2 linked regions of the Tribolium castaneum genome follow. The protein of the gene in region 1 binds, or shares a complex with, the protein of each later gene. Links are inferred from orthologs where the notes say so. Each region holds a gene or a part of one and is shown on either strand. Other genes may lie near its edges.

What was found. The genes of interacting proteins can lie anywhere in the genome.
Region 2: the proteins of eIF2Bepsilon (region 1) and eIF2Bgamma are in contact, whole or in part, in a cryo-EM structure (PDB 7VLK), measured with the Homo sapiens proteins. The link is inferred for Tribolium castaneum from reciprocal best matches to the Homo sapiens genes EIF2B5 and EIF2B3. Residues at the interface, in NP_003898.2 of Homo sapiens: Pro190, Val202, Arg222, Arg223, Phe224, Ala225, Phe226, Pro227, Leu228, Phe231, Gln232, Ser234, Ser235, Asp236, Gly237, Val238, Glu239, Val240, Arg241, Tyr242, Asp243; in NP_065098.1 of Homo sapiens: Arg155, Phe157, Glu178, Glu179, Leu180, Val181, Ile182, Lys183, Gly184, Leu187, Gln188, Pro191, Arg192, Ile193, Arg194, Phe195, His196, Thr197, Gly198.

The regions. Positions count from the first base shown.
Region 1 is NC_087402.1:10,482,840-10,488,118, forward strand, and holds the start of eIF2Bepsilon (translation initiation factor eIF2B subunit epsilon), read left to right. Parts: upstream 1-1,689; 5' UTR 1,690-1,769; coding exon 1,770-1,865; intron 1,866-1,910; coding exon 1,911-2,035; intron 2,036-2,082; coding exon 2,083-2,274; intron 2,275-2,327; coding exon 2,328-2,505; intron 2,506-2,559; coding exon 2,560-2,804; intron 2,805-5,022; coding exon 5,023-5,279. Other genes in the region: zinc finger protein OZF, read left to right, coding at 5-431, 483-1,154, 1,203-1,483. UniProt on the Homo sapiens protein: Acts as a component of the translation initiation factor 2B (eIF2B) complex, which catalyzes the exchange of GDP for GTP on eukaryotic initiation factor 2 (eIF2) gamma subunit.
Region 2 is NC_087395.1:21,890,557-21,895,330, reverse strand, and holds eIF2Bgamma (translation initiation factor eIF2B subunit gamma), read right to left. Parts: upstream 2,929-4,774; 5' UTR 2,790-2,928; coding exon 2,633-2,789; intron 2,587-2,632; coding exon 1,769-2,586; intron 1,719-1,768; coding exon 1,489-1,718; intron 1,443-1,488; coding exon 1,286-1,442; 3' UTR 1,242-1,285; downstream 1-1,241. Other genes in the region: transcription elongation factor 1 homolog, read left to right, coding at 3,159-3,274, 3,328-3,460; Unc-115a (actin-binding LIM protein 3), read right to left, coding at 4,544-4,657, 4,708-4,774. UniProt on the Homo sapiens protein: Acts as a component of the translation initiation factor 2B (eIF2B) complex, which catalyzes the exchange of GDP for GTP on the eukaryotic initiation factor 2 (eIF2) complex gamma subunit.

The DNA of each region.
Region 1 (5,279 bases):
TTAGGTTAGAAGGGACGACGGTTTGCCCGGTTTTATATGTAACGACTGCATTTTCACTTTAAATTTATTTATAAGTTTTAAAGAGCAATGCCAGAAGGCAGAGTCCCAACTGAGGAAAGCTCTGTACACTACGCCGGAGATTTACGGCGAGTACAAAACTGTAACAGTATTAGGTGACAACATTTCCACTATTATTGAATTCAAGAATGACTCTGTGTTAGACAATCGCGACAAAATCATAACAGTGAGCATAAATGAGCCCCAAATTGTAAATAGCGACTTGCAAATCGATAATCCAGTTACAACGGACCCCCTGAAATGCCCCAAATGCGAGCGTTCTTTCAAACTTGAATCCACTCTAAAAACCCATTTACTAAAACACGAAAAAAACCAAAAACTGAAGTGTGAAATTTGTAATAAAGAGTTTAATCGTGAGTGAATGTATCACGTTTGATACAAAAAACCCAATTAATTTTTTCTAGTGGTTACACAATTCAAACATCACGTGCGCACCCACACCAATTACAAACCCTTTTCTTGCTCAAAATGCGACAAATCATTCGCATTATCGTCAAGCTTGACTAAACACATGCGAACACATGGCGGCGAACGCAAACACTTGTGTATCACCTGCGGGAAGCGGTTTTTCGAACCGGGCCACCTTAACGTAAGTAGCACCTTCGGTACTTCCCCCATAACGCGCCCATTCAAGATTCACATGCGGACACACACCGGGGAAAAACCGGTTATTTGTAACAAGTGTGGTAAGAGATTTACAGACCCACACGGGCTCATAGCCCACAACAAAATCCACACCGGCGAACGCAAATACGAATGCAACACTTGTGGGAAAAAATTCGCACATTCTTTCGTGCTTAAGGCGCATAAAAGGGTCCACACCGGGGAAAAACCGTACGCTTGCACTATGTGCAAGGCCGCCTTTGCGACGTCCTCGTACTTAACGATTCACAAAAGGACGCACACGCAAGAACGGCCCTACAAGTGCGAATGTTGCAGTAAGGCTTTTATCAGTCGGTGTGCTTTAGTAGCACACATGAGGACACACACAGGGGAGAAGAAATTCCAGTGTTCGGTTTGTGGTAAACGCACAGGGCGGGCCGCTGATTTACAGATACATATGAGGTCACACACTGGTAAATCCCCAACTGTGGTTTGACTAATAACAATTCGGGTTTTTTTAGGGGAAAAACCCTACAGTTGTGACTTGTGCCCGAAAAAATACCACACTTCGAGTAACTTAGCGGCGCATAAAAGGACACATCTGGGGGTCAAAAACCACTTTTGCGCCGTTTGTAGCAAGGCTTTTGGCGACTTGAGGACCCTTAAGTGTCACATGAGGATACACACGGGGGAAAGACCGTACATTTGCGGGGTGTGCGGCAATAGGTACACCCAGTCGGGACAATTGGCCGCACATAGACGCACGCATGATGTTTACATTGATGTAAATACTGTTACGTAAATAAATCACTGAAAACGACTGGAATATTTATTTAGGGAAGCCCCCCGATCACGCGCCCCCTGGTGGCGGCGTCGGTAATTAACAAATCGCCAAAATTTTGAATTTTGATCAATGTAATGTGAAAAAGCCGCAGAAAAATATTTTGGTAACACCAGGCGATAGGGTTTCGAGCTCTGCTCCGAAAATGCAAACAAATCGCTAAAAAAAGTGCGCCCTCTTGCGTCACTTGTTGTCAGTCGAGTTTGTGACTGGTGCTAACCTAAAAAATCAAAATTTTTAATTAAAAATGTCGATTAAGAGCAAAGACGATATTATTCAAGCCGTGGTTGTTGCTGATACTTTTGGAGATGAGTTTTTGCCACTTTCGTCCGACATCCCTCTGGTACGCTAAAAGAAAGATGATGCAATCGTTGATTTTTTTCTTTAGGCACTTTTCCCTCTAATTAACAGACCTTTGATTGATTATACTTTGGAGTTTCTGTCTCTGGGAGGCATAGAAGAGACCTTTTTGTTCTGTTGTTCACACACAGACGCTATAAAAGCCCACATAAAGTAGGGATACGCCCCAGTCTGTGCTCTCTTAATTCTTGTGTTTTCAGTCAGAGTGTTAAAGACAAGGCAGGATGGAGTCTCACGATGAAAGTCAATGTTATCGTATCGGAAAGTTGCCACTCGTTTGGCGATTGTTTGAGGGATTTGGACAGGAAGGGGATTTTGAGAGGGAATTTTGTTTTGTTGGAACCCGGGACTTTATCCAATATTAAATTGTTGCCAATTGTTAAGAAACATAAGTAAAGGTGTTAGACTTGTGTTAGGTACTTTTCCCTATAATTTGTGCTTGCAGTGAGGTTGCTAATAAGGACAAGGGGGCTGCTATGACTGTAATTTACCAGGAGGCGGGGATTGGGCAAATGGGGCGCGACTTGAACGAAGAAGTCGTCGTTGCTGTCAATAATAACAATCGGGTTTTATTTCATAGAAAATTGGGGCAAAGCAGAGACAGAAAAATTGAATTTCCTTTAGTACGTCCTAACTTGTCCAAATTTTTTTTTTTTTTCTAAAAATTATAATTACAGGAAATTTTTCTGGAAAATTCAAACGTGTCGCTACATCACAACCTCAAAGACACACATATTGCAATTTGTTCTCCGTCAGTTTTGCCTCTCTTTTCCGACAATTTTGACTTTCAGTCTAAAGACGATTTTGTCAAGGGTTTACTAATGAATGAGGAAATCCTCGGGAGTACGGTGTATTGTCACGTGACGAAAGGCAGTCACTTTGGAGGGGCTATTACCAACTGGCGGATGTATCAAGCAATAAGGTATTTTTTCAATACAGAGGATTAAAATATGAGGTGATAGGTGCAGTATGAAAGTATTAAAAAAGTAATTAATTCACCACATCCGAGCTGATTTAGATTATTCGAATAAAAAATAGGAAAACGTTTGGAAAAGTTATTAATGCCCAAAATTCACACATTTTTGCGTTAAGTTTAAATTAACGAAAAACAAGTTAGCTCGTTCTAACTCGTTTCACCTCATACTTTTAGTTTTCCGTATTTAAAATAGAGCGAATTTGCTAAAAGTATTTTTTACTACTAGCTGTTTTAAAACTATAAAAACGCCAACGTCGCATTTTTTCTTAAAATTAGCTGTTATAATATAAATTATTTCTGTACTTATAAAGAATAATAGCTAATGTAGTCTATACTTTCAATGAGAGATCTAATCATTAATAACTATTTTACAATTTTATCAATCTTCTTAAAAAAATAATTCGGTCAAAGTTGGCGTTTTTATAGTTCTGAAACAGCTATTATATTTCAAAAATTAATAGACGCACAGTATTCAGAATTTGGTATTAACTGTGGTTTTAAATTATATTGTTCAATATGCAGTGTTTTTTTGAGAATTTTTCTTGTGATTAATATTAATTAGTAATTAAAAATATTAATTAATTGAAATTGATTTGTAATGTTATTCGCTCTCACCTAAATACGTTTATTATGGGATCAGTAGTATTTTTTTACCAGTTTTTTGCCCAAAATAACATTTAAGCATTGCTTGCTTTAAAATAACAAGAAATAATATTTTTGTGCGACTTAATTCATTAATTAATTTTAATTATAAGGAACTGTAGAAAATTCTGAAAAAAAAACAGATGCAAAGAGAAACATACAGAGTGAGTTTACGGTGAAGCATAAAATTTCACACCTTGCTACGGCTTATTCAAAAAAAATTAAATAAAATCGTCAAACAGGTTTTTTTATAAATACTACACTTTCATTTTACCTCGTAATTTATGACGTCACTATTCTTTGAGAAGTTACGTTTTTTTTAATAAGAACTGACATTTTTATGTTGAGTTTTTTATAGTATGCTCCTTTATTTTTCTGGTAGGTACAAAAAAATCAAAAAAAAAGAAAATAATAAATAAAGAAAAAAGAAGTTAAAAAGGGTTAATTATAAATAATAATAAAAGCGGTCGCCTCTTACAAAATAAGGTAATAGCAAAAATATTAGACCTTTTGCGTGAGATTATAAAAAATAGATTTAATTTTTTTTATTAAGCCATTCCATATTAATGTACGGAACACTACAGAAATTTTTTGATTTTATTTTTAGTTTTTATGAACATTATCAGCAGAAGTAAATTTTTCTTTACAGGAGCTTAGTACCAGTCCAACTGTTTGTGACTTTCATACGTTTGTGAAATTTGAAATACAAGGTAACGACTTCTGATTAATTTACTTTCTGTTTACACATGACGGACGCAACAAAAGAATCATGTGTGTAAAAATAGCTCTAAAAAAATTATTCAGGCAGGTTTTAATTATTAAAAACTTCAACAATATCAAAGTTACACAGTGGAAATTAAAAATTATTGGTTTTGTTTAACGACGTAAGAAATAAGAACATTTATATGCTTCTAATAATGAACGAGACATCAAAATATACGAAGATATAAAAGTAATATTACTATTCAATTTACTTACCGATTTTCATTTTCTAAACTTCCAGAAACTAGAAAAACACTCAAAAATTATTCACAACTGTTGTTGTACTTCAGCTGTCAACAGTATTTTATGTTATCGCCTACAAGGTATGTAAATTTTAGAACCCACTGAATTACTTCAATTTATATTATTATCCTCTCCCATTTTAAATCCATAACAAAAAAACTCTCGTCGCAAAATACATAAATATAAATCGAATCGTGTATTTTGAAAGAAGCTTTAAATACTAAAATTATTTTGGAAATTTCGGTGTCAGTTTGTATTTTTTCTGGAATGGCTGTATTATTTCTTACTATTAAAAATAAATAAAATTGACGTCATTACTCAAAAACCAATGACATCATAAATGTTGCTATGGTGTCAAAATTGATTTTTTTTTTTGAAACTGACCCATAACAGAGATGTAAATTTTATGCGTTATTTTCAACTCACTTTGTCCTATAATCCTATAAAGTGTTTAATAATACCAAAAGCTGATTTCTGTGTAATTCGTAATTGTTGACGTACAGCAATAAATTTTTAGCCACGAACTACAAAACAAATGGATTTACCCGTTACAACCTCCGGCTTTGAAAGCCCACAACTTGAAAAACGGTGTCGTAACAGGCGACAAAGTCGTACTAAATGACAACAAAAAAATTGCAAATAGTATTATAGGCGATAACGTAACAATAGGCAAAAATGTACAAATTGAGCACAGTTTTATTCTCTCTAATACGAAAATTGCGGACAATGTTATAATCACTCATAGCGTAATAGGACCAAACTGCCACATTAAAG
Region 2 (4,774 bases), on another chromosome or scaffold:
ATGCTCATTTTACATATTAAATCTTATTATCAATACAATAATTTAATCAAAAGGACAAATAAAATGAATCGAAAGAATGAATTGAATGTTTACAGCAAAACTTTTATTCACACTGTTATTTACAGCACGCACAAAATAAAAAAATTAACATTGTATTCATTGTTTTGTTTCATTTTTCTCTAACTTTTGCCAAAACTATTGTTTTAATAATGTTCATGATCTATTTACAGAAACAGAATTAAACTTTAATCCAGGCGGGTGTCATTTTTATTAATAGGAATTGTAAAAAATGTTGTACGTATAATTTATGTAAATACAAAAATTTTATCCACTCAAAAACTAAACTTTTTTTAAGTGCATAAATTCGTCGTTATTCACATTGTACCATAAGTAATAAGTAATAAGTAATAATTTTAAATTTTCGTAAAAGCTTTAATTTTCAGAAGTATAATTTAAGTTCTGCAAGTATTTTAGAAATAATTCTTGATTTGTTTTTATCAACTTGCTAGTGAGAAACAAGGATTTGTAATAATCCATGCGAGTAAATTAATTGTCTACATCCATGAACAAAAAATTATAGTTTGAACCTCTTTCAAACATATATTATTTTTATTTTTTTTTCTATTAGTATTAGTATTCGAGTTATTAGCATAATAAATTAATATTCTTAGTACTATGCACTCGTATTTATTTTACTATTTTCTGACTTACACTTTTTTTTAATTAAATTATATTTTCTTCCAATAATTTCTCCAAAACGGACCTTTATAAATATTTTGAAAATGTGAAAAAGTACTTATTTTTGGCAACTACTGCACCGTCACCGTTTCTATTCGCAACTCAGGTCGTTAATTAAGCGTGTTCTTCATTTTTTGTACTAAGATTGAGGAAAATTTGCAAACTCTTATCGTCTTATTTTTTGTGCAAAAAAGTGAATACGTAAAGGATTCCATTTCACCGAACACAAAATCTCGAATATTAGCTCCTTTAATATCGATCGAAAGCAAATGCAGATATTTCCAGAATTCGATGACGCATTTATGAACTTTGCCGACCATCAACATACGTAAAACCCAAAATTAACTTTACCCGAATGGATTTCGAGAATTTCGCTAAATAGACATCGTAAAAACTTGCCGAATATTTTAGCACTTTTCGCCTGCTATTTGCCAAATTTTAACCACAGAATCAATTAGCAAATAGACGATTTTTTGCTTACGAAACCGAAAAAAACCAAGTAGTTCACATTTGTATTTTATTCGTAAATTATGTACAAAAATAAAAATTAGAATTCCATCAAGCGGTCCGAATCCGTGAGCACCTCTTGACTATGTTCCGAATTTTCGGGCACTAAGTGGTGACTGCCGATCAAGCAGCCCTTAATCTGACACCCCTTCTCGATCGTCACTCCATCCGAAACTATACAATTCTCCAACGCCACCCTGAAACACAATTGCCACACAGGCCACACAATGGAAACCCACTCACTTCTCCTTAATCGTCACATTATTCATAACAATGCAATTAAAAACCCTCGAAAAACTGCAAACTTCACTGTTAGCCCCAATAACCGAGTTCTTAAACGAGGTTTTCTCGTGCAGTTTGGCTCCCTCCCAAACAACACACTTATCGTCCACTTGGCTCGATTTAATCTCACTTTTGGGGTGTCTGAGGACGAGGCTTAGCCCATTTGTGATTTTGTCCCACCTTTCGCTGACCTGCAACGCACACTCTCAAGGGGGCTCACAACGGGCGAACTACCACGTACTTTGCTATTAACGGCCCAGTACGTCGCTAAAGTGTTGACTCGCACCCCGAACGAGTCTCGGGGGGCTATCAAGGCGTAGCACCGGATGCTATCACCGTGATACGTGGGTTTGGAGTCACCGATATGGTCGTTGTAGGACGAGGACTCCCTTATAATAATACTGAAAGGGTCCTCTTTCGCGTAATTAAAAATGTCCTCGCTGTCGCATTTACTGACTATTGACTTGCCCTCGGCCCCTTTCGGGGGCTTGGAGAGCTGTTTTTTGACAATGTGGGGCAAGAGCTCGCCCTTGATTGTTGTAAAGTTCGGCTGGCTGTTCAAATATTTGACCACCCAGTTTTTCAAAACGTACACGTGCGAGTCGACCAAATTGCTGTACATTTTAACATGAGTGTGTTTCTTGAGCAAAGAGCGCGGTAGCGATAATTCGCTCTCGAAATCGCTCGCGGACGCTAAAAACACCAAACGGTTTGTTTGCGCGTCAATCCCGACCAAATCGCGCTCCGGCTTGTGTTTGGACTTGGGGCCCGGGATTGTTAATTCGCCCCCGTGAGGGTGGAAGAACAAAGACGCGACCGAGGCATCGTGCATTCGGAACACGTCCAAAACGCCTTTTAGGCTAAAATCAGTGATAAAGTCGCACGAAATTACAAGAACGTCGGACTTTAGCCGGTCATGGAGGAGTCTGAGGGAGTCGGCGGTGCCTAAGTCCTCCTTCCCGCTAACGGGGAAGTAGTCGATTTTGATCTCAAGCTCGCTTTTGTCAAGCGTGGCCTGAATCTCGCTTTTGTGATTCTCTAACACGACAAGAATTACGTCTAAAAGTCTGGTAATTATGAGATTTCGAACGGCCAGCGCACGTACCTGTGAAACCGGACTGCTGCAGCTTGTACAAGGGGTACCAAACGAGGGGCTTCGTCCCCACGGGCAGCAGACACTTGGGCTTGCCGGAGGTGATCTCGGGCATGCGGGAGCCCCGGCCGGCCGCCAGGACCACGGCCTGGAACTCGGGCTGAAACATTCTTGCAAAAACACACAAAAATATGTCACAAAACTTTGCAACAAATGTGTGGTTATATCACACCAATGACAGAGGCACCAACATAACAAATTGTTACGCTAAATAAAAATAATTCATTTGAGCCCCTTATAAAACTTTAGCGCATTCCTCAAGACTGAATCGTGAACACGGTCGGAACTTAATACCCGGTGATATTAATTAAGCTCGCAATTACGCTCAAATTGTCTCAGTTTTTGCCACCACGTTGGTGTTACTGTCACACGTCAACTTTGCGCAAAAACTGTTTATTTTGGTCGGGTCGGTTTTTTTGTAAATTTTGGGGCCAACTTGTGTTGAAAACTTTTTTTGTGTGTAATTTAGTGTCTTGTGATGGGGCGCCGCAAGTCGAAGCGAAAACCGGCGCCGAAACGCAAAGCTGTGGAGCCCCTGGACCAGCAGTTCAACTGCCCTTTTTGCAACCACGAAAAATCGTGCGATGTTAAAATGTGATTGTTTTTATAAACCGTTGGGTTTTATGGGGTAATGTGTGTGTTTGTAGGGATAAGGGTCGAAATACGGCCAGGATAACGTGCCGAGTGTGTCTTGAAGACTTCCAAACTACTATCAATTTTTTATCAGAGCCTGTGGATGTGTACAACGATTGGATAGATGCATGTGAATCTGCTAACTGAGGTTTTTATGTAAATGTTTTATTAGGTACAAATAACACTTTTTTATTATATCAGTCTAGGAAAAAATGTATTGAACGAGTGGTTTTAAAAGTAAATAAGTCATATTTAAAAGTTTTTTATTCATCAGATCAATTAACAAGAAATCTTAGACACCTAAAGCGTTATCGTTATTTTATGAGAATAAATATAATTTGTAACAATTGAAACAACTATGAAAATGAATATTTTTGTTACACGTTAATCGAGTGGTCTAATTTTTTTTATTTGAAAGACCCAGTTCTTTTGAACAATTTGTAACATAAAAATTTTGTATCGGTCTCGGTTTTGGAGTGAAAAAATAATTCAAGTCGATGTGTCAAAATTTCAGGCGTTTGCCCATTTAATATTATGGGTGGTGGTAAAAAATGTCTTAAACGAGTGGCTATAAAAAGTAAACAAGTCGTATTTAAAAGTTTTTTATTTATCAGAGCAATTATTAACAAATCTTAGATACCTAAAGCTTTAAAATCGTTATTTTATGAGAATAAATAAATAATTTGTAACAATAGAAACACTCATGAAAATGAATTTGGGTTTAAAACAATATACCAGAAATAAAAGGTACCACAAAGTCCTTGACAGCACTAACAAATGTACAAAAGAATATACGACTAGCCCAAAGCAATAATTAAAGCAATCTAAATGCCGTTTTTATAAATAACTTTCAACTATCTTAGCACTACCTAGTTATACACTTATCCTATAGAAAAAATATCAATCTCTGAATATAGCCAATTTGTCCTATGATTAAAAAATTGTTGAATCTTCCAAGATACTCTTTTTCACCAATACAATACAGATTATAATAGTTCAAATCAGTAGAAAAATATTGTTTTTTATCTAGTTGGAATAATCCGTAAGGAAACCAAGAGCTACTCTAGCACATTTCGCAGAAACCTTGTCAACTTAAACTATGGCGAAGAATGATCCAGTCGGTAAATGAATCAAGGAACACTCAAAGAAAACCAGTTACACATCGCAGTGTATAGCAGCCTTAGCGTGGTGGTTTAGCACTCAAGCAGCATCTAGTAGCACATGAAGAGTTTAAAACAAGCGAGCTCTACGTTTTAGTTCGTTCCTGCGCCATTGGGGTAGTCGGTAGAAGTCGGTCCGCGAGACTTGGAAAATCGCCTCGAACTCGGCGTCCGACAGATGTCGCTACAAAAAATTCCAATCATCTGGTCACAAAATCGGAAAAAGTATTTTACCTCAAGATTGCATCTGTCGACATCAGAAGGCAGTCTGTAATTAGTGATCACAAGCAAGTGGTAAGGG